Linked DNA regions of Diceros bicornis minor. Each later gene encodes a partner of the first gene's protein in a complex. Links are inferred from orthologs where the notes say so. Each region holds a gene or a part of one and is shown on either strand. Other genes may lie near its edges. The genes, in order: IZUMO1 and IZUMO1R.

Region 1 (11,657 bases):
CTGATCCTCCTCTCAGACTCTTTATTATCCCAAGTAAGAAAAATAAAAAAATAAATAAGATAAATAACCCAATAAATAAAGAGGAGACCCAACGACAAACAGCCTGTGGCTTTAGGAGGCGTAGCTGGGGCTTCGGCCGTGTGAAGGCCCCACCATGCTCAGGGGGTCTGAGGAGCCCACGTCTGGAGGCTCGGGAGCCAGGATCCCTGGAGGCTCCGGGGGCGCTGGGGGCAGGCCTGGCAGCGGCAGGAAGCGGGCAGGTCCCCGAGGGGCTGGATCCCGGTGTGGGGAGCTGTGGGGGGGCAGGCGGAGCGGGAGGCCAAGGGCTTCGGACTGGTAGACGTTGTAGCCGTCCTCAAGGAGCAGCTCCCGGAAGCTGCAGGCCGCGGGGTTGAAGTGGAGCTGAGTGGACAAGAGCAGAGATCAGAGACATGAGATTCCTCTACGCCCTCCTGCTGCAGGACCCAGGGGTCTAGGCCCCCACCCTATCCTCTCCCAGAGCCAGGAGTCCAGGCACCCAGCCCCTCCTCCCTCAGACTCAGGGTCCAGGCCCCAGCCCCTCCTCCAGGACACCACAGAATCAGGCTTCTCTTTCATGCCTCTTTAAGGCCCACCTTCCTGCCCCCACTTCAAAAAGAGGAACATTCCAGCCCAGGGACAGGTCAAGGCTAAGGTCAAGCAGAGGCATTTGGCTGCCACCCAAGGTCTTGGTCCCTCTACAGGCCATGGGTTCCCTGAGTGACCCCACGTCCAGGATGAGCCAGGCCCACAGGAACCCGTGTGGTCAGCAGGGGTTACTAGTCACAAGACTTGGCCTCTCAGGCCACTCTGCCATTCGCAGGCCTCGTGACTCAGGGCTGGTCCTGGATCTGCCTGAGCCTCGGTTTCCTCTTCTCGCAAACGTCGCTAACAACGGCTCCCACCTCCAGGGCTTTCGGTGAGGTTGGGGCATGCAGAGAGTGTAGAACCAACCAAGCCTGGCCTGGGGCCACAGGTGCAAGATGTGCTACCCCAGATTGTGAAGATGATTGGAGGAAGGGTGGAGTGCAAGGAGGGGGGTCCCGGAGACTCACCGATCCATACAGCGTCCCATCTGGCCCCTGGCACAGAAACCTGGATGTCTTGACTCCCAAGATTTGTATGACTCCTGGCTTCAAGGCTTTCAGCTCCAAGAGACCTGAGCGGAGAGATTGGTCAGGGATTCACAGGGCCTTTTCCCAGCCCCCTCCTCCCTCAGACCCAGAGGTCCAGGCTTCCAGCCCCTCCTCCCTCTGACCCAGGAGTCCAGGCCCCCAGCCCCTCCTCCCTCAGGACTAGGCCCTGCCCCCACACTCACTTTCAGGGCTCCGGTGGGCAGCCCCTGCCACTGTGCCATCAGCCCTGATCTCCAGGTGGGCCTCTGTCTCCTGGGCGTCGTCTGTGTAGAGATAACGCAGCCGGACTTGGCCCCCGAATTGGAGGAGGGGGCTGGAGTCAGGGATGGGGTGTGCCTGGCAGGCTCCCAGTAGAAAGACAGCCAGCACAGGGACCCACAGTCCTGGGTGCTCCAACCCGGCCTTGTTCCAGTCCATCAATGGCTCACGTCCTCAGGCGAGGTCTGGGGTCTAGGATTTGAAGAGCTGAATGGTCTAGATTCTGTTTCAGATCCTGGTGGTCTGGGAAAGCAGATTCACGGATTGCTGCTCAGAGAGCCCAAGTGCCTGGGTCCTCTCGCATGTGGACTCCCAGCTGAGAGGACAGCCAAGTCTCTTGGGATGGATGCAGAAGCTCGGGAATTTATATCCTGACAGACCTGCCCAATCACCTTCCCCATGCCTGACCCATGATATTTGACCCACTTGGCGGTAGCTAGGACTCTACCGTGGCCAGGTCAGCCTGAACGGATGATGCAATCAGGGGGTCCTTCCAGCTAGGGGCCTGGACTCCTGAGTCTGGGGGAGGAGGGGGTTGGGGGCCTGGACTCCCAGGTCTGGGGGATGAGGGGCTGGGGGCCTGGACCCCTGGGTCTGAGGGAGGAGGGGCTGGGGGCCCGGACCCCTGGGTCTGAGGGAGGAGGGGCTGCAGGTCTGCACTCCGGGGTCTGAGGAAGGAGGGGCTGGGTCTGGACCCCTGGGTCCGAGGGAGGAGGGGCTGGGGGCCCAGAGTCCTGGGTCTGAGGGAGGAGGGGCTGGGGCCCAGACTCCTGGGTCTGAGGGAGGAAGGGCTGGGGGCCCTGGACTCCTGGGTCTGAGGGAGGAGGGGCTGGGGGTCTGGACTCCTGAGTTTGAGGGATGAGGGGCTGGGGCTGGACTCTGGGATCTGAGGGAGGAGGGGCTCGGGGCCCCACTCTTGAGTCTGAGGGAGGAGGGTCTGGAATGTTGGAAAACCGCCTCCCTGGCTGACTGATGCAGACTGTGTCCCACCACTGGAATTTCTGCATTCCACCTGAATTTCTAGGTTTCTGGGGGTCACTGAGGTTCCTTGATCATCAGGAAAGCACCAACTGCCACATGACAAAGCATCCTGCACAGGGACACAGGTGTCCTGGCCTTTAGCCTCTCGCCTGACCTCAAGCCAACCTCAACGTCACTAACCCCTGCCCAGACACCCAAGGTCCAGGCCGCCTCCTCCTCCCTGATGTAATCCTGGTGTTTCTTTCACCAGAGAAGCTACGGCAGGCCCAAACAGGCGCTCCAAAAATAGCGTGGGAGTGGGGGCGGGGAGGATAAAAGTCTCTGACTCAGAGTTGGCAGCAGAGCCAGACTCTTGAGGGGGCTGAGGGAGCCCAAAGGGAATGCGGTGTGGGCAATTTCCTGAAACCTACGGGTGCAGGGACTGGACACTCGGGTCTGAGGGAGGAGGGGGCTGGGGGCTGGACTCCCGGGTCTGAAGGAGGAGGGGCTGGGGGCTGGACTCCCGGGTCTGAGGGAGGAGGGGCTGGGGGCTGGGATTTCTGGGTCTGGAGAAATTGTGGTCAAGTCTCTGAAGCGTTAGGTCGAATTCCTGAGTCTTTGACTTTGATTTATTGAATGACAATGGTCAGACAGCTCGGCCGGGTGGGTGGAGGGGGGAGCCGCCTTCCGCAGTAGAAACAGCTTCAGGTCTGCAGGGGAGCAGAGGCCTTTGTTCTGCGCCAGCAGCCGCGCCCTCAGCGGGAGGCAGGGAAGACACACTCTCTTCCACTCCAGCTTTCTTCATTCCCCTCCTCGACAAAGGCTGCCTTCGCCACGTGCCGGTCTAGAAAGCAGTAGTCAGGCGCCAGACCCTAGAATCCCCCAAAAGGAGAGGCTGGGGCCCGAATTTGCGAGTGGACGGGGCGGATATGGGGATCAGCTGCCCTTGGTGGGCGCGGGGACACCTTCAGGCTGGAGGCTCCCACGCCTGGGACCCTGAGAGCTGGAAGAGGCTGTCCAGGCGCTCCTGGAGCAGCCTGGCGAAACAGGTTCTCCATCTCCAACGGGAGGCTGCGGCAGGGGAGGAGGATCTCCCTCCCCGCCGGGACCTGGTGTTCCAGCCCTTCCCAGCGGCTGGGGCGTGGCCGGGCTGTGTGCATCCAGGTACACAGTGCAGACCCAGGCACCGGAGGGGAAGGGAGAGAGATCGACAGACCAGAACGCCTAGGTCCAGCATTGCAGCTGGGCGCTAGATCTCCATGTCCACGGAAGGATGCGGCTGCTAGGAGGCCAGGTAGGCTGCCCCGGGCGGAGCCTCCTCTCTGGCCAGTGCCGGGGAGGAGGGGGCTGGGTCGCGGTCCCCGGGTCTGGGGGCGTGGTGGTGGGGGCAGAAGGCGGGGGCTACCACCCTAGCCCCGGGCGCCAGGACTCCTCGCCAGGGAAGGGGCGGGGCTCCGCCTAGGAGCTACCTGCGAGGCAGCCCAGGAGGGGCGGAGGCTGTGAATTCCGGACCGCGCCCCCGTCTCCATCCTCCCCTCCCCGAGCCCTTGCAGCCAGTCCCGGGAGGCGGCGTGGAGGGGAGGGCTGCTGGGCCTGGGAACCTGGAGTCCGGGGTTCCGGGGACGGCCGGATGTGGGCCGCACTTCCAGACCGTGCGCTCCAGCCACGCCAGGCCGTCTGTGGATCTGCCACCCGCCAGGAGCTCAGGTGAGTGAGAACTGCGGATGCCTCGGACCCAGCAATCGGGGCCTTCAGTCCGCCCAACTCCTAACCCCGTGCAACCGGAGGAGTCTCCCCACCCCCACTCCCCACTCCTGCTCCTCCAGGGACCAAGATCCCTCATCCAGTCCTGGGCCTACAGCCTCACATGTTCCTCTTGGCCTGTTGCTCCTGGTCACCTCGGTGGTGGACTCTGCCCCTCATACACCTGGGAAAGGAGTTGGTGGAACATTGGTCCAACTTCAGTGGCCCTTCCAGGCCTGGAGAGCGAGATTCCAAGATGTGGGGATGAGGAGCTGGATCCTGGACCACTGCTGTCTAGGAAACCACCAATTTATCACCATCTCCCATCCTCATCCCCTGAAATTGCAAGCCCCCAGCTTCTCCTCTCTCAGATCCAGGAGTCCTGGACCCTGATCCCCCTTTCTCTCAGACCCAGGGGGCCGAAACCTTAGTTTCCTCATTGTGTCTCAGGCTCTGAGCACCTGCTAATTCACCTTTCCTCCCCTGCAGCCATGTGGGCCCCTAGCCCACGTCATCTCTGTCTGACCTTCCTGCTAGTCTGTGTTCTTTCGTCAGTCTTCTTCCTCCACGTCCACCAAGACCTCTTTCACAGTGGTGTAGACCTGTTTGCCCTGTGTCCAGACCGCCGCGTGGTGACATCTCGTGTGTCCATCTTATGCCTGTCGGGCACGCCAATGACCTCCAACACCTCCCTTTCCTGTCCGGAGCAGCCTGCCTCCCTCACAGGAACCTGGACCATCTACCCAGATGGCCGGTTTGGTAACCAGATGGGGCAGTATGCCACGCTGCTGGCCCTGGCCCAGCTCAACGGCCGCCAGGCCTTCATCCTGCCCGCCATGCACGCCGCCCTGGCCCCCGTGTTCCGCATCACCCTGCCTGTGCTGGCGCCCGAGGTGGACCGCCACACGGCTTGGCGAGAGTTGGAGCTGCATGACTGGATGTCGGAGGAGTATGCCCGCTTGAAGGAGCCCTTGCTGAAGTTCACTGGCTTCCCCTGTTCCTGGACCTTCTTCCACCATCTCCGAGAACAGATCCGCAGCGAGTTCACCTTGCATGACCACCTTCGGCAAGAGGCCCAGGCTTTACTGAGTCAGCTCCACCTGGGCCGCACGGGGGGCCGCCCGAGCACCTTTGTGGGTGTCCACGTGCGCCGTGGGGACTATCTGCAGGTTATGCCCCAGCGCTGGAAGGGTGTGGTGGGCGATCGCGCCTACCTCCAGCAGGCTATGGACTGGTTCCGGGAGCGGCATGAAGCCCCCATCTTCGTGGTCACCAGCAACGGCATGGGGTGGTGCCGGGAAAACATTGACACCTCCCGGGGGGATGTGATCTTTGCTGGCAATGGGCAGGAGGGCTCACCGGGGAAGGACTTTGCGCTGCTCATGCAGTGCAACCACACCATCATGACTATTGGCACCTTCGGCTTCTGGGCTGCCTACCTGGCTGGTGGAGACACTGTCTACCTGGCCAACTTCACCCTGCCCGACTCCAACTTCCTGAAGATCTTTAAACCTGAGGCTGCCTTCCTGCCTGAGTGGGTGGGCATTAATGCAGACTTGTCTCCACTCCAGACACTGGCAGGGAGACTTCCTGGAATAGCCTGATTGATCAAGGGCCAGCATTGTGCTTCTCTGGAGGCCTAGCAGCTTCTGGAGAAGGTTGTGGTCCTGCAGCAGGTGGGTACCCACTTCTAGAGTGATTCTAGTTGGCTAGAATTTGAAAGAAAGGGGGGCTTTCTGCAACTGCCTGAATGTTCTAGAACCATCAGAAGATCTTTTTCCTGATGGCTGGCAATGTCTGGAGAAGCTCCTGGCAGTTCTAGAAGGCACAGTGCCCACCTGCTCTTCAAGCCCATATCCAGAGTACTTCTAGATGACTGCCCCCCAGGAACGGGGAACTCCCCCCTCTAGTTGACCATCCTGGTCTTTTCTAGAAGAGATGTTTCTCCTCCCCTGGATCCTCAGGACTGAAGGAACTCGGGTGGTTCTAGAGGAAGCACTCACCAACTCCCTTTCTGTGTTTCTGGGGTGATTTTAGAGGGGAGGACTTGCTTTAGAGAGGGCCAGTTCTAATGCCTGTGAAGAAGCCTGCAGGGCCCTTCCAGAGGGGATGGGGTTCTGGAATTCCAGATGACTTCAGCGAAGAATCTAATGAAGGTACTACCAGAAGCTCAACATGTCACCACTGCCAGAAAGATTGATAGAAGACAGTCTCTCAGTAGCTGCAGAAGTGTGTGAGCAGAGCGGAACTCTATCCCACCTCTCAGCACCTGAAAAAACCACAAAGACTTTTTTGGGGAGCAGATAGACTTAAAAGGTGGGAAGTGGGGAAGAGGGCTGTCTTGCTGAAGTACTGCAGCTTTTGGAGCAAGGCTTCCAGAAATCCAGGGACACTTTTTTTTTTAAGCTCAAAAACTGCCAAAGACAGGCACTGCACATCTTGGCTCCGAGTTCGGGTTGTCTCTTCCCAATTAAGCTGGGCTGCTGGGGGTGATGGGATCGATTTTCTGGAACTTTCTGGAAGTCAGCTGGCATAAACGTGCCCTCTGGGCTTGCAGAAAGCTGCAGGAGTTGTTCCCCTTGGCAATCATCGTCTGCCCCTGAATTCACAGAGCCACTAAATCTGGCTTTGGGCAAGTCGGAGATGAAAGGGTCTGAAGGGATGCAGACCCGGGATTGGCCTCAGACACAGCCAGGAGGGGTCTGGCCAAGGAGATTGGGATTCTTGACTCAGATTTCAGGAGCCCCTTGGTGCTTTTTGAAGGGGGTAAAGGTAGATACTTTATCACAGTTGTCTAAGAATCTAAGCCCCTTTTCTAGTCTTCTCAGGGAGTGTTGGGGGACCATTCCCTACTCAGCTGCCATAGGTGGGAGAGTGGGAGATATGAATTAAAAGTCCACCTCACCAACCCGTGTCTGCAATTTCTTTTGGAGTCTTGTGTGCCCGAGTGTGTGTGTGAGTGAGTAGGATGAAAAGTGGGGAACTTCCGGGGACTGTCATGACTCATGTCTTGGGGTATTGTCTCTGCTCAGATCTGGCAGCCTCTTGTTGCCGGACTTGTGTGAGCTGTGGTCTCTGAGCCCCAGTTCTTTTCTTCGGGACTCAGTATTGGCCCCCAGACCTCTCTTCCTCTGAGGCCTTGGCGCCCGGTCCCAGAAACGGGAGAGAAAGTGGAGGGAGTGGGCCAGAGTGTAATTCTTGAACTACATTTCCCATAAAGCTATGGGGTTGGCTGCGGTAATCAGCTAGGGAGAGACCCCGAGGCCTTCTGGGAGTCGTAGTCCTAGGGCTAGAAAGGGCCACGTCCCTCGTCTTTGTGGCTCGACGCCAGGGTTTCCAAAGGGCAGTGGGCATCTAGCCGGAAGCCTCGGTCCTGGGCCCAGGGAGGGGAGGAAGCTGAAGGTCAGAAGCCAGTTCCTTGGCCCTGGAAAGCTAGAGCAGACACGGTACTTCCCTTTCTGTAGATGCTGGGAAAGTTCTAGTCTGAAAAGACGGCCGCCTCTGTGACATCAGAGCGATAGGCGGGGCCTCCTTTTGTTGGAGTCCAATCAGATTCAGAGTTGGGCTTCTGGGCGGGGCCAAGGAAACCCCAGGGAATATGTCTAGGGAATTGGGCCCCTCGTGGGAAGCTAGAAGGCGGAGGCTGTGGGAGTTCCCTGTAGATAGGAGCGAACCGTGACTCTGACCCCAGTCAAAAGCCCCCTATACCATGCAACCATCCTCATCCTCGCCCCCAACAAGATCCTTAATTTTAGTCGTGGGAAAATATTAGATTGGAAGGACGTGGCCCCGTCGCCTTCTCTTAAAAGCCCTCGGAACTTGGACTCGGCTCTTCAGCGAACCCTAGTGTTTGAGGGTACAACAGTCAGGAGTCAAGGTCGGGCAGCGGTTGTTTAGGGTGCATCGGGACTTCTCGGTTTCCTAAAGAGAAGGGTGAGCCCTGCAAACGCGGGGTCCGTTAGTCTCGGGGAGGGGCTTCTCTCGGTTTGGCTCTCACCTCCTCTCGGTTTGGGGTGAGAGAACCACCCCCCACCCCCCGGCTCTGCGCGCTCTGGCCGCGATGGGGCCACGACTTCCCCTCCTGGTGGTCGCGCTGGCCGGCTGTCTGCTTCCTGCCCGAGGCTGTGTCATGTGTGATTCAGAGGTCGTGGAGGCGCTAAACTCCTTGGAGAAGGATTACCTGCCTGGCCACCTGGAGCCCAAGCATCACAAAAACGTGATGAAAAGGGTAAAGCAAGCCGTGCAGGATTTCAAGGAACTGCCGTTTGACGAGGATTCCTATATGGGGGTCGTCGGTGAGGGCAGGGCGGAGCGCGGACTTTTGGGACCTGGGAAAGGAGGGGTCTGGGGCCAGAATTGCTGGGTCCAGGGGGGAAAGAGCTGGAGGCGGAGTCTCCTGGGTTCGGAAATGGAGAAGGGTGGGACCCAGATTCCGGGGTTCCCCAGGGCCAGCGGATATCGTGTTCTCGTACCCCTTATCCTGTAATTTTATGCAAAGAAAACTACAACTCCCAGAAGGCAACGGGCGGGTAACCCCCTTAACCAGGCCTATTCTTGCCCAGTGGACCCATGGGTATTGTAGTTTCTAAGACTAGGAGAGCCAATGAGACTCCAGTAACGCTGAAATCTGGTGTTCTATCTCCCCCCACAGATGAGCCCACACTGAAAAAGGCATCCTGGAGTTTCCTGAAGGATCTGAAACGCATCACGGACAGTGATGTAAAAGGTAAATGCACAGAGCTGCCAGGGGAGGGGCTCCAGAATCTCTCAGGGAAGTAATCGCTAGTGGCGCCTGGTCTGGTGGTCAGATACCGGGCTCCGGAGCCAGACTGCCAACGTTCAAATTCTGGCTCTGCCACTTTCCAGCTGTATGGCCTTGAGCGAGGGATTTCGCAGCTTCCTCACCTCTAAAAATGGAGACCATAACAGTGTCTTCATCCCAGTTGTTGCTTAGTCAAGTGGCCAGTATTATGTTAAGTGGTCATTCAATTTCACTCTTCTTCCCTGAGAATGCCCGAAAGCAGAATGCCAGGCTCTGCAGACAGAGGCAAACTTCCTGTACCTCACACCTGGGAAGGGGTGGGGGGTGGACCCACTCCGCGTCATCCTGCTTCTTCCCAGGTGAGCTCTTCGTGAAGGAGCTGTTCTGGATGTTGAGCCTGGAAAAGGACAACTTTGCCAGCTACGCTGCTCAGTTCCAAAAAGAGGGTGAGGGAAAATGGGACCCCAGCAACCCAGCCTCCTCCCTCCACAGTCCAAGAGTCCCTGTCCCCAGCCCCTTGCTTCTCCAAGTCTGGTCCCTCAGCTCTCACAACCCCCTCCTCCCTCAGACCCAGGGGTCCAGGCACCCAGGTCCTTCCTCCCTCAAACCCAAGAGCTCCCAGCCTCTTCCTTCACCCCCTCTGTCATCCCCTTTAACTTAGAAATCTGATTCTCATTTTTTTTCTTTCTCCGGAGGCAGCTTTTTGTCCCAACAAATGTGGTGAGTCCGGATTATGGGAGCTGGTCCTCTATGCCTCATCCCTGCCCCGTGAATACCCAGCCTTTCGCCTCCCCCGTTTGGGTCTCGGGGTTTCTTCATTCTCCGCGTCTAAGAGGTTCCTGGGTCTCCAGGATTCCTTCCGCGCTTCTGAGTTCTTGGGGAGCGAGTCACATTCTATTTGCGCTCTTCGCTGAGCCTTCCTACAGGGCTGCGTTCGAGCCCCGCCCCTCGGGCTGACCTCCTAGGGATCCGGCACAGGACCGCGCCCCAGCCCTTGGCCCTGCCCTCTTCTTTTAGCCCCTCCTCTTAGTAGGTGAACACAGTCTTGACCCTGCCCCCTCAGGTATGATGTTGCAGACTATGATCTGGTGCAGTAACTGCGAGAAGCAGGTTCACGCTTGTCGCAAGTCCTTGGATTGCGGGGGTGAGAGAGCTGGGCCCAGCAGGAGGTGTGGGCGTGAGAGGGGCGGAGCCAGAGGAGAGACTGAGTCTAGAGGGGCCGGATGCTGGAGCCAGCAGACAAGAAGAGGCGGGCCGAGACCGAGTGGAAGGGGGTGGGGGAAGGGCCAAGAATCTCACAGTGACCCCCCCATCCCCAGAGCGCAAGGTCAAGGTCCATCAAATGGAAGACATGATCCTGGACTGTCACCTCAACTGGCATCAAGTGTCTCAAGGCCTGACCGATTACAGCTTTTACAGGGTGGGGCCCTCCAACTCCTGTAACCCTTGAACTCCAAGTCCATCAGGCCGTGTGAGCCCCCTGGTCCCTGTATCCACACGCCTGCGCCCCCATGACCCATGGCCCACCAAGTTTGGCTTCTACTGACCCCCCGGGGACCCCATGCCCCGACCAGTACACCCTGGACTCCCATCTCCCACACCGAGGGCCTGTGATCTTCTCACCCCTGGACTCCCCCGACCCCTGAATTCCCCAGGCCTCTGTGACCCCTTGAGCTTGGGTCTAGGTTTGGGGGAACAATGCTGAGACCTTGGTGTCCAAGGGGAAAGAGCCCACCCTGACCAAGACCATGGTGGGTCCAGAGGATGAAGGCACCTACCGCTGCGAGCTGGGCACCGTGAGGTCCGGCCCAGCCACGGTCATCCATTTTCACGTCACAGGTCAGCACAGGGGAGCTGAGAGAAGTGTGGGTGGGATTCAAGGTCCTGGGGTGGGGGCTGTCAATTTCAGGGGGGCGGCCTATGGGGCTTAACTTCCCGTTGGGGTGTGGTTTCGGAGTGTGGCTTCCCGCCCTGGGTGTGGCCTCTGGCCATGGTGGCAGTGTTCCCCTCAGGGTTCCGGCTTCACGCAGTCGGAGGCGTGATTATCTCCTGGAGGGCCTGGGTCCTGCGGCGGGTTGAGGTGGGGAGGGCCTGCCTTGGCCACGGCGGGACCTTCGCGCCCTCCCAGGACGGCTCCTTCCTCCTCTTCTATCAGTGTTGCCCAAAAGAATTGAGGAGGAGATACCGTTACCAGGCGTCCCAACCCAGGGTGAGGTGACCTTGGCTCGCCCCCAGTCGCCCACAACCCTGCAATCTCCGCCGTCACTGTCGCTGAATCCCGTGAAGATGCTGCGAGGGCGCCTGATAGGGCTGCTGATCTGGGGCTCTGTGGTGCTAATAGCCTGCGTCGCGACCGTGTGAGCCGCCCACTGAAGGCAGGGCTTGGAGTGCGGGGCGGCGCTTCCAAAAACCTAACGCAGCGGGGTTTCTGGGAGCTACGGTGCTCTGAGCTGGACTTCCATTGGGGATGGGGCTTAGAAAACGGGGCGGGGCTTAGAAAACGGGGCGGGGCTTAGAAAACGGGGCGGGGCTTACCGGGGGGGGGGCGAAGCTTGGATAATTACTAGAACGAGGTCAGATATCGGGAGGCTGGGAGGGGTATCCCTCACTCGGTTAGGACCTCACCTGGTTCCGCTGTTTGCACCTACCCTCCCCCAGGATAATTTGCTTGCGGTCTGGGAAGATCCTCGATTCCGTGAAGTCCTGGTTTGGCACTGTCAGTGGAGCTGCTCAGCAATCCCAGGTTCCAGAGGAAAAGGCCAAGAAATCAAGGAGCAAAT
Region 2 (10,319 bases), on another chromosome or scaffold:
GGTTGGTAGCTGGCATGGAACTTTGGATCAAGGGATAGTTGGAGGGAGGGATGTTGGGAAGATTGAAAGAAAAACTTTATTGAGCTCAGATACACATTGTAAACCTGCATACAAATCACAGTTACTTGTTATTAACATTGTCGGGTAGACCCAGCAGCAGCTTGGTTTAAAGGTAACAATGGGATACTGGCACCAGGGAAACTTTGTGAAGACAGAAGGAGCTAGCAAGCTGCGAGAAAAGTAATCAGGACAGTAAAGCTCTGTGTTCTTTGTGTTACACCTTTCTCCCCTCTCTGGTTTTCAGCTAATCTCTTTCCCATAGGACTTTGATATTTTCTATCTCCCCTAAGTTAGACTCTCATCAACACCGGATAAGCTTCACAGTCATTTCCTCTGCTGTGATTAAAACTAAAATTGGCCTTCTTCAAGTGGTGATGAAAGGCCCCAGCATTAACACTCCGAAATGTCACGGAAATCATCAGAAACTAAAGATGTTCCAGGCTGAAAGTCTGAGACTGAGGGAGAAAATTGGAAGGGAGAGGGAAGTGTGAGGGGAGAGAGAGAGAGAGGAGAGGGAGAGGACAGAGGAGAAGGGTAAGGAGAGGGGATAGGGAAGAGAAAATAAAGAGGTTAAACTAGAGGGAGAAGGATAGGTAAGGATAGAATCAAGAAGAGAGAAAGGAGAGGAAAGAAAGAGAGGAGGGAGGGGAGAGAGATGAGCCAGGGGAGAAGGGGAAATATAGGAAGGGGAGTGAGAAGGATGGAGGGGGACAAGAAGGATGGGGGTAAAAAGGATTGAGGGGAGAGAAAGATGGAGGGTGAGAAGGATAGAGGAGGGTGAGAAGGATAGAGGGGGGTGAGAAGAAGACTGAGAAGGATAGAGAGGGGTTAAAGGGAGGGAAAGCAAGAAGGATGGAGAGGGGCAAGAAGGATGGAGGGATGTGAGAAAGATGAAGGGGGTGAGAAGGATGGAGCAGGAAGGAGAGACAAGAGAGTTCATTTTAAACTAGAGAAGAAAGATAGGTGAGGCTAGGATAAGGGGGAGGAAGGAAGAGGGGGAAGAGAAGGAAGAGGGAGGGCAAGGAGAGGGGATAGGTCAGGTTAAACTAGGGACCTGTCTGAATTAAAACAATGTTTGTAAAAAATGCAGTTTATTCTACTCAGGTATTTCTCCTTATTTACTCTACAAACATGTACTGACCAGGCCTACCAGATCGGGCACTGCGCCTGCCCCAAGCTGCTCCCAGCCAGAGGCAGGGGAGACTACAAGCAGACATTCACAAAGGGGCGGTAAGTGCATGACACAGCAGGAGTAAGAGGGAACATCTCTCCAACCCTGGGGGGGACCACACAAGCTTCCCTGAGCAGAAGCCAGCAGTTTGGGAGTTGAGGGATAAGAAGGTGTTACCAGGCATGGAGGGTGAGTTCTGAGAGAATAGCTTGGCAGAGGAACCACGTAAGAGTGCAGAGCAATTACAGACATCAGGGGTGAGGAATGCCTGTAGCGTAGATGAGAGAAAGGACTGCTGACTGGGATGGAAAAGGACATCGGAACTAGATGAAACATGGTCTGTGTGCCATATTAAGGATTTGGGACTTATCTTTAAGTCTAGAAGGGTCTTAAACATGGGAATATCATAACCATCTTTACCTTTTAATAAAACCATTCTGAAAGAAAAAAGCCTGCAGACAAATGTTGAACTCTGGTTAATGATACGCACGTTTGAATTATTTAGGAGGAAGTATGCTGATGTCTGCGATTTACTTTGAAACGCATGAAAAACAAGAAGATTGATGGCTGGCTAGAAGGCTGGATGGTTGGCTAGCTGTGTGACAAAGAAAATACAGTAAAATGGTAACAGTGAAATCTAAGTGGTGGGTATATGGGAGTTCACTGTAAAATTCTCTCAACTTTCCTTGTTTGAAATTTTTCATAATAAGGTACTGGGAAATTAGATCATTCTGGCAGCTGCTTGCATAAATATTTGGAAAGGGGCAAGCGAGCCAGTTAGGAGGTTGTTGCACAAATTGAAGCAAGAGATGATCATGACTGGGACAGGCATAAAGAGAGAAACAGGCATAAAAGAACCCGAATTCAAGAGAGATGCAGAAAGTTAAACCAACCACTTTGGTGGTGAGATGGATATAAAGGGAAGGAAGAGGTGGGGATAAACAACACCCCTGTCTTACCTGCCCTAGTAACAAACCAATTATGAGTTGAGACAAGCATGGTCACTAGATTTGGGGGAGAGGAGAAGGACTCATAAGACCCACTAAGAACTCTGAATCACTGATGGCCCCTCAGCTGGCCTCTGATTTCAGCTTCTCATCAGGAGATTCCTGGCACAAGTTCTTTGTTGTCTTAGTCTGTTCTCAAATTCAATGGGCTTCAGCACCTTGGGCAACCTCGTGTGTAGGGGAAAGAAGGAGAATTATTACTGCCCACCTTGTGCTATGTTCCGTAACCAGTGAGGCTGGGCTGCTCGCCCTCCCTTCAGAACCCTCTGAACGCTGCTGTAGCGCTGCTCTTGGCAATTTAAGTGTTCTGTTTTGTTTTTTTAGAACAAAATTGTTTGAGATCAGCAGCTTCAAATGGCTTCATCCACAACCAGCTTTGGTTTATCAGCTTTCAGTCAGGAAACAGATTTCTCTAGAAGACTCAATCACAATAAGGGAAAAATGAGTTTTCTTCACGGGCTGCAGACTGCCCCTCTGGGGAGCAGATGTTGTCCAGCCTGATGGCTCTCTGAGTGGCAGCCTCCAGAATCCCTCCCTGCCTGCTTCCCCTGCCCCTGTGCTGGCTGTAATTTCAGCTCATTTCCTACAGCCTTGTCCAAGAGACTGTTAGCAAATCCTTCCTCGTCCTTCTTCCCTACACGTGAAGGACATTTACCAAAGGACATGTTTTCTATGTCAGTAATTACTCCTGCACTTGATTTCAGCATTCTTGTCCCTGCCATGTCCACAGCCATCTGAAACTTAATGTTAAACCCAAACTCTTACCTCGTCAAGACTTAGAGCTTCCTGAGTATCTGTGAGGACTCGAATAGGACATGCACCTGCTCGTCCCCTGCTGAGTGGACACCTGTGGGAAGAGACCTGTGCTGCAGAAATGTAATTACTATTTGGTATCGGACCCTAAAAAGGAGACTCCTCACTCTGCTTAAGGCTGGGATATGCGAGGCAGGGCTGGTGACCATCACTGTTCCCCAAAAAAGCTGACACGTGCCTCTCAACACAAGCAGATTTGACTTTGATTTGTGAATGACACAAATCAGGCATGACTTTTATTTAACGCTTTTATTGTTTTGGTTTAATTTCCTATGTATCGATAAAACTTCAGTGATGTTGGCTACTTCTCCTTTGGAGAGAGAACATGTTATAAGAAACAGGCAAAGAGACAGGCTCCTTTTTCAGAATTTTCATCATGTTCGGGACTCGCCTACAAGTCCTGTCCAAGTCTCCTAGCCTCTCCTTAGTTGAGAAGGATGCTGTGTGAATATCACTGCTGAGAACATTTGTAGAATATTTCACAGGACAACGGCCCCTTCACACTAATGGGGGCTGGTTCCTGGGTTGTAGAGGAACTTTGTTGTTTTGTTTATTTTGGCTTTGGTCATGCACTTGAATTCTTGGGTCCCCAAGGCCCAGCTTTATCTTGGCATCTCTGTACTGCTGGGTCTGCTCCCCAGCAGGAACCTTAGCTCCAATCACCAGGTGGCCCATCCCAGGTAACTATGCTGATGAAGGAGCAGGTAGAAGCTGAGGAACAGCGCTGAGAGAGAGAGGCTTCACGGGATAAAAGGATAAGAAAGAAAACCGTTAAGACTTACTCTGTGCCAGGCACAATGCCAAGTCCTTTTCCTGAACTTTCATTTCTTTTTCCCAACAATCCTTTATAATATCCCTTTACACAGATAGGGAAACTGACAGAGTGTAAGCCATTTTCTCAAGGTCGTCCAGCTAGCAAGTAGCAGAGCTGAGAGCAGAACTCAGTAGCTGACTAAAGAGCCCGGGATCTCAGCCACTCTGGGGTCGCCACTGCTCTGAGAAAGGGAAACCCTCCCGGCTCCACCCCCAGGAGGCCTCTACACTTGGGTAAGAGGGATGCTGTTTAACTGGAGCCACCTGGAGTTCTGCCTCTGCACCTGGACCTAGGAGGAACGGGAGTGGGTGATAAATGGGTGGGATCATAGAATTCTCCTCAGCTTCACAAGCTCCGGCGGTGCGAGGGAGCAGCTCCTGCTTTGAAAGTGAGTATGAAGAACACACTGGAAGGGGCAGCATCTTTCTTCTTTTCACTGGGCATACATGATTCTCTAAAAATACTTGATGGCCATGTCTGTGCTCGAAACTGGTGCCGAGGAGAGAGAGCAGACTTAGGTTTAGAGTTGAGGATGGGCTGGGAAGGTGGGGCTGAAGTCTCCACCCTGGGATGTTTGAGGCTCTAAACTCGGACTAGGCCAGAGGTTTTCAGTTTCACCATGATGGGTCCATGGCCGGTTCCTGCAACGCCTGGAGGACTGAGGGAGCCATGGGGTCCTGGGTGGGTGAAGGCTGAGGGAGCCTTGTTTCCTAAAGGGTTAGGTGCTTGAAGCGAGTGCTCTTCTGCCCTTTTTTTTTTGGTCTCTCTTTCCACTCCCTCCTGTTACCAGTACTACCTAGACCAGAGCTGGAAACATAGTGCTCAAGAAACACCAAGGGAAGAGCCGGTCTCCTCATTCCTATAACAAGTATTGTCTTTTGGATGTGGAAGGCTCTCACATCTGACTCACGCCTGGGCATGCTCCCTGATCTGACATGCCAGCAAGGCCCCTGGGTGCACGGCTGCCCCAACTTGTGCTCAGGCTGGGTTTGAGATAGGTTGAGGCTGTTGGAAGCAAACTACTTCTCTAGGGGAAAGGACTCTGGCAAGAGGGGACTGGGGAGGGGACCAGCTGCTTGAGGAGCTATGGGCCCTCCGTGGACCCCTCAGAGGGGCTGAAGTTAGGGTTGACACTCGAGGGGGTAAGGCTTGCGTTTGTCACACTACCCAGTCCCACCATGCCCTTTGCTCCAGGTAAAATCTGGTTACTGAGCATTTGTTCAGTCACTCAGCCAGCATGGGGGGGCTCGCTGTGGACCAGGATCAAAGCTCTGAGTTCCCAGCCTATAAGTTGCTCAGTTGGTAAAGGCTGCCTCCAAGTGGAGAAGGGTCAGGAAAAGTTCCCCCAGGGAAGGCTGGAACCATTCTACCCTTGATCTTCACCTTAGGGCTGGTTTGTTCCCCCAACCCTGGGCTTCAGTTTCTGCATCTGTACAATTGTTGGGGGCAGGTGTCAGACCTGTCAGGTTTATTCCACCTGCCCTGACATTTAATGATGCTGCCTCAAACAGAGGTCCTAGGAGCAGCCAGAGTGTCATGGTCACTTGAGGGAGCCTTGAAGCCATACTAGCTCCCCAGGATAGTGAAGGGAATGGAGCAGGGTGTCCTTTCTATCATGTAAGCAAGTGGGTCTCCTCTCTGCAGTAGGCCATGGCATGCTGGTGGCAGCTCCTGCTAGGGCTGTGGACAGTCATGCCCCTCTGGGCTGGGGACGAGCTTCTCAATGTCTGCATGAACACCAAGCACCACAAGCGAGAGCCTGGCCCAGAAGACAAGCTCCACGAGGAGGTACAGAGGCCAGACCCGGTCTAGAGGTGGGAGGGGGCTGCTTTGGCAGATCAAGGAAGGGACACAAATACCAAGATGGTTTCTAAACCCCCATCAACCCTGACTCATTTGGTTCCTTAGGCTGGACTTTGGGCAAAGTCCACTAGAGGGGACTATGACCTTTTGAGACCATAATTGCCAAATGATTCAAAGTTGCCATCTCCCAGCTGCCCGGCCACTCGGGGAACAGGGGTTCCCCTTCTCCTTCTCCACCCTTCCTACCAACAGGCCCTGGGGAAATCCGTGACTTAAGGGACCTCTCCTCAGGCTCCTAAAGGCAATTGACAGGGATGAGGGAGGAGGAGCAGAGTTGGCATTTACCCGTGAGCCCTTCTCAGCTATGGTGCCCTCCCACCCAGTGCAACCCCACATTCCCCTGGGTCTCATGAGGCTCCTCTGCTGCCCCTCAGGAGCTGAGATCCCGGAAGTCACGTTTCTAGGGGACTGCAGCAGCCTGTGGCAGGGAAGTCAGCATGCAGGTGCCCTTTGGGTGTGAATGTTGACAAGTTATCAGCATTCCCTCTATACAGGGGGATGCTAGCCTAAAGGCATCCCACTTGCCCACATCCTCTTGTGGGGGACATTTTTATATCTCTGCCCTAGACACTCTTCAACCCCCTGCCTCTTACCACCCCCACCCCCGACACACACACACCTTTTGCTTCTTCCTCTACCTTCAGTGCATCCCCTGGAAGGACAATGCCTGCTGTACAGCCAACACCAGCTGGAAAGCCCACCTGAATGTGTCCCTGCTCTACAACTTCAGCTTGGTTCACTGTGGTTTGATGATGCCGGGCTGCCAGAAGCACTTCCTCCAAGCTGTCTGCTTCTACGAGTGCTCCCCGAACCTGGGGCCTTGGATCCAGCAGGTGGGAAGACTGGGCTGGGGAGGCAGGAGACACATCCATACAATGCCCTGCTACTAAGAGCCTGAGCTCCAGGATACTAGCAGGAACAGGAGATACATCCTCCTATGGACAAGAGCAGAGCCAGAGGCTGTTGTTGGGGAAAGGGTTGGAGAGGAAGCAGCCTCCAGCCGTGGAGAAGGACATGGGGGGAGACTGGTTAGATGAGAACAAAGGATGAGGGACTATTTGAATCCCATCTTTTGTATGTAGGAACAGAAGCTGTGCAGCCCAAGACAAACCTATTCATCCTCTTAGCCTCATTGTTCTCGTTTGTAAAATCATACTTAAAGACTTCATAAGAGAATATATTCAGATGGCACCTGGCACAAGCACCATTCTAGCTATCCATAGTCTTCAAATTGCTGCTATTAGTATTCTTGTCTCTTGCTGTGCCTGCACCCAGGTGGACCCAAGCAGGCAGGGAGAGCGGATTTTGGATGCGCCACTCTGCAGGGAGGACTGTGAGCAGTGGTGGGAAGACTGCCGCACGTCTTACACTTGCAAATCCAATTGGCATCATGGCTGGGACTGGAGTGGAGGTGAGTGGCACTTGACAGGGCACGGGGGAAAGCAGGGCCTGGGAGGCACCCTCCCTGGGGGCAGGTGCAAGCACCCTGTGCTCCCTCAGGGCAAATGATGGGGATTCGAGGGTGACAGGAGTGGAAGGTAAGTTGTCCGTGCCTCAACCCCCCACAGGTAAGAACCGCTGCCCTGCAAGGGCCCACTGCCACCCTTTCCCCCATTACTTCCCCACTCCGGCTGACCTGTGTGAGAAGATTTGGAGCAACTCCTTCAAGGCGAGTCCTGAGCGCAGGAACAGTGGTCAGTGTCTGCAGAAGTGGTTTGAGCCTGCTCATGGCAACCCCAATGAGGCCGTGGCCCGCCTCTTCGCCAGCCCTGCTCAGTCCTGGGAACTCTCCCACACTCTCATGGCCTTCTCTCTGTTCCTGTTGTTCCTTTCTTGAGAGCCCCTTCTCCTCCCACCCACACTCCTGCACTCCCCCACCTATGGCATGGCAGCCTCCTTCCTGGGTCCCTTCCTTAAGTGACTCAGCACAGGCTGGGGAGCTGGTGGGACATTGAGGCTACAGGAGCTGGTGCCTGAGAACTTGCACATTCGGTTCTAGGCCCCCTCTACTGCTCTGCTCTGCCTTTTCCTCCCTGGAAGGTAGCTGGGGGCTTGGATGGCCAAGGTGACCTGCCCCCTCCTGCCTTTATGGATGGTGGGGCTCTGAAGTGGGACTCCAGGCCCTTCTCCTCCAGTATACACCCTCCCCCTTCCCTGGCAGAGCTGATGGTGACAGCCCTGGCCTCCTGTCTCATGACGGTGCCTCCAATAAAACGGCAGTTGACCTTTCCTCTCTGCATGACCCACGCCGTCCTCACTTTATGGTCAAGGAGTCAAGCTACACAAAGAGGGAGGCAGTTTGCCTGCTGTACTGAAGTCGCAGAGTTGGCTGTTACTTACCATAATAATAATTAACTTCTTCACATGTGCCAGGCCCTCTTGTTAATCCTCACAACACCTCTCTGATGGGAGTCCTTTCAACATCTCCTTTTTTTTCAATAAGGGATACACCGTACAAAAGACCCAAATCCAGGATGAGGATGGGGCCACCCAGCCCATAGGCTCTATTTTGGACACCAAGATTGAAGCAGCTGCCTCAACTGCTTTCGGCTTTCCCTCTTCCTTTTAACCCCAGAATCACAACACACTGGTCTGGAATTTTGAAAGCCAGAGTTCTAATCCATCTTGACCACTTTCTGTATGACTTTTGGCAAGTGCTTTAACCTTTGTTTAAGACTGTCTTGGTTTCCCTCTCTGCTGAGGGGAATGAGGTAGTTGGACCATGTGATTTTGACCAACAAAGAGAAAAAGGAAAAAGCCAGTGCCGTTGTTTGTTGGCGTATAGTCTATGCTTCTCAGGCAGTGCTATGTCCTAAAGAATAAGACAGAACAGTTAGAACTGAAGCAGAGAAGGGGTGTGGAGGTGGCCTTCACATCCTTTCTGTAAGTGGACTGGCAGCCAACACACTCACCCAGAACCTTCCAAAACTGAAGCCCAACAGCTTCCCAGCATGGATGGTGCTTTCCCCACAACCTCTTCTTTGACAAAGAGAGGCTTCTAATACGCCTGCACTTCAGTTGGTTGGCTTTTCTAACAATTACTCATTCTCGCCAGAGACCAGCCAGCCCTGCTCATCAGTTAACTCCACCCGCCTTGCTCCCACGCTTACCTTGAATGTGAGCTTGCACTGAGCAAACCCTGTTACAGGTGGGCACTCCGATTCCAAAATGAAGAGAGTCCTTCCAAGTGATGTGCTCAGAGTCTGGAGCAGGAGACAGACAGCAGCAGGGGTGACAAAGCACTTCACTGGGTGTCTGCGAAAACAGGGGCTAGGCCGGGGTGGGAGTCCTGGGAAGACCTCACAAAAGAGGTGAAGCTTGAGCGCTCCCGGTGAAGAAGGGTCACTTCACTGAGAAGAGAAAGGAAATACTAGACAAAAACCAGCCGATTCCCCAAGGCATGAACCATATGATGGGGGAACTTGAACTGTTTTTAAATTAATAAATCGTGGCTGCAAAAATACATGTAGGTGAAATTTATTTTTTTTTTATTTTATTTTTTTCACCCAAAACCCCAGTAGATAGCTGCATGTCATAGCTGCACATCCTGCTAGTTGCTGTATGTGGGGCAAAAATACATGTAGGTAAAATTTTTTTAATTTTATTTATTTTTCACCCCAAAACCCCAGTAGATAGCTGCATGTCATAGTTGCACATCCTTCTAGTTGCTGTATGTGGGACGCGGCCTCAGCATGGCTGGAGAAGCGACGCATTGGTGCACGCCTGGGATCCGAACCCGGGCCACCAGCAGCGGAGCGCGTGCGCTTAACCGCTAAGCCACAGGGCCGGCCCAAAAATACATGTAGGTAAAATTTCTTAAGAACTGAGGACTGAATGAAGTGTCTGAGGGTATGTGCTTCATAATAAAGCTGAGTTTAGTGACTTTTTTTTAGTATTTTTAGGTATAAATATAAAAAATAGTCAAAGTAGGGTTAAAATTAGGGTGGACAAAACAAGACCAGTTCTGGGAGCCCTAATAACTATTAATATTTATTGATCACTTACTCTGAGCATAGGGGCTCTGCCAAGCTCCTGACACGCTTGCACTAGCTCATTTGATCCTCACAAAAGCCTTGTGAGCTACTCTTGTTCTCCTCATTTTCCAATTAGATCAGAAGCCTATGTAGCTTTGCAACCAGGTAAGTCTGACCCCAGAGCCCCAGCTTATAAGGCTCACACTGAGCATCCTGGTAAGTTGGTGAGCGGGGCTGAAGCAGATGTGGGGAGAGGAGGCTGGCTCACAGCAGGTCATGGTCAAGAAATAGAGACTGATCTCTCTCTCCATGTGTGGTTGGGAGGAGTGACGGGTAGTGGAGTGGAACTGTCAGGTTTGCAGTTATATTATTTGTTTTAATCAGAGTGATCCATGCACATGGCTAAAACACATAGGTCAAACCATCTCTAACACAGCAACAGAGCCCCAGCCAGCCAGTCCCTCGGCCCAAGAGCCCCTGCCCAGAGGCGCCTACTCCTAACCATTTCTGGATTTAGCTAGGAAAAAGTTACAAAAGGTGACTTATCTTTTCTGCTACACACAGGCTATTTTTTTGCTCTCTGTTCCATTAGTTTCTCAACTTAATCTTCCAATCTT

The links.
Region 2: the proteins of IZUMO1 (region 1) and IZUMO1R are in contact, whole or in part, in a crystal structure (PDB 5JKC), measured with the Homo sapiens proteins. The link is inferred for Diceros bicornis minor from reciprocal best matches to the Homo sapiens genes IZUMO1 and IZUMO1R. Residues at the interface, in NP_872381.2 of Homo sapiens: Met75, Val77, Tyr134, Val141, Leu146, Trp148, Lys150, Asn151, Lys153, Glu155, Val156, His157, Ala158, Arg160, Lys161, Ser162, Tyr163, Asn239, Ser240, Ser241, Pro242, Ile245; in NP_001186135.1 of Homo sapiens: Lys42, Tyr44, Glu45, Ile48, Leu58, Trp62, His65, Leu66, Asp67, Gly80, Leu81, Leu82, Met83, Pro84, Gly85, Arg87, Ile91, Met145, Ser146, Tyr147, Gln171.

What each region holds. Positions count from the first base shown.
Region 1 is NC_080773.1:24,355,283-24,366,939, reverse strand, and holds the start of IZUMO1 (izumo sperm-egg fusion protein 1), read left to right. Parts: upstream 1-7,193; 5' UTR 7,194-8,175; coding exon 8,176-8,410; intron 8,411-8,766; coding exon 8,767-8,841; exon of another isoform or gene 8,842-9,028; coding exon of another isoform or gene 9,029-9,236; coding exon 9,237-9,323; intron 9,324-9,576; coding exon 9,577-9,597; intron 9,598-9,940; coding exon 9,941-10,021; intron 10,022-10,196; coding exon 10,197-10,297; intron 10,298-10,562; coding exon 10,563-10,716; intron 10,717-11,032; coding exon 11,033-11,234; intron 11,235-11,535; coding exon 11,536-11,657. Other genes in the region: FGF21 (fibroblast growth factor 21), read right to left, coding at 112-402, 1,074-1,177, 1,337-1,571; FUT1 (galactoside alpha-(1,2)-fucosyltransferase 1), read left to right, coding at 4,607-5,719. UniProt on the Homo sapiens protein: Essential sperm cell-surface protein required for fertilization by acting as a ligand for IZUMO1R/JUNO receptor on egg.
Region 2 is NC_080746.1:39,516,079-39,526,397, reverse strand, and holds IZUMO1R (sperm-egg fusion protein Juno), read left to right. Parts: upstream 1-5,515; coding exon 5,516-5,653; intron 5,654-6,372; coding exon 6,373-6,580; intron 6,581-7,001; coding exon 7,002-7,139; intron 7,140-7,296; coding exon 7,297-7,565; 3' UTR 7,566-7,865; downstream 7,866-10,319. UniProt on the Homo sapiens protein: Receptor for IZUMO1 present at the cell surface of oocytes (oolemma), which is essential for species-specific gamete recognition and fertilization.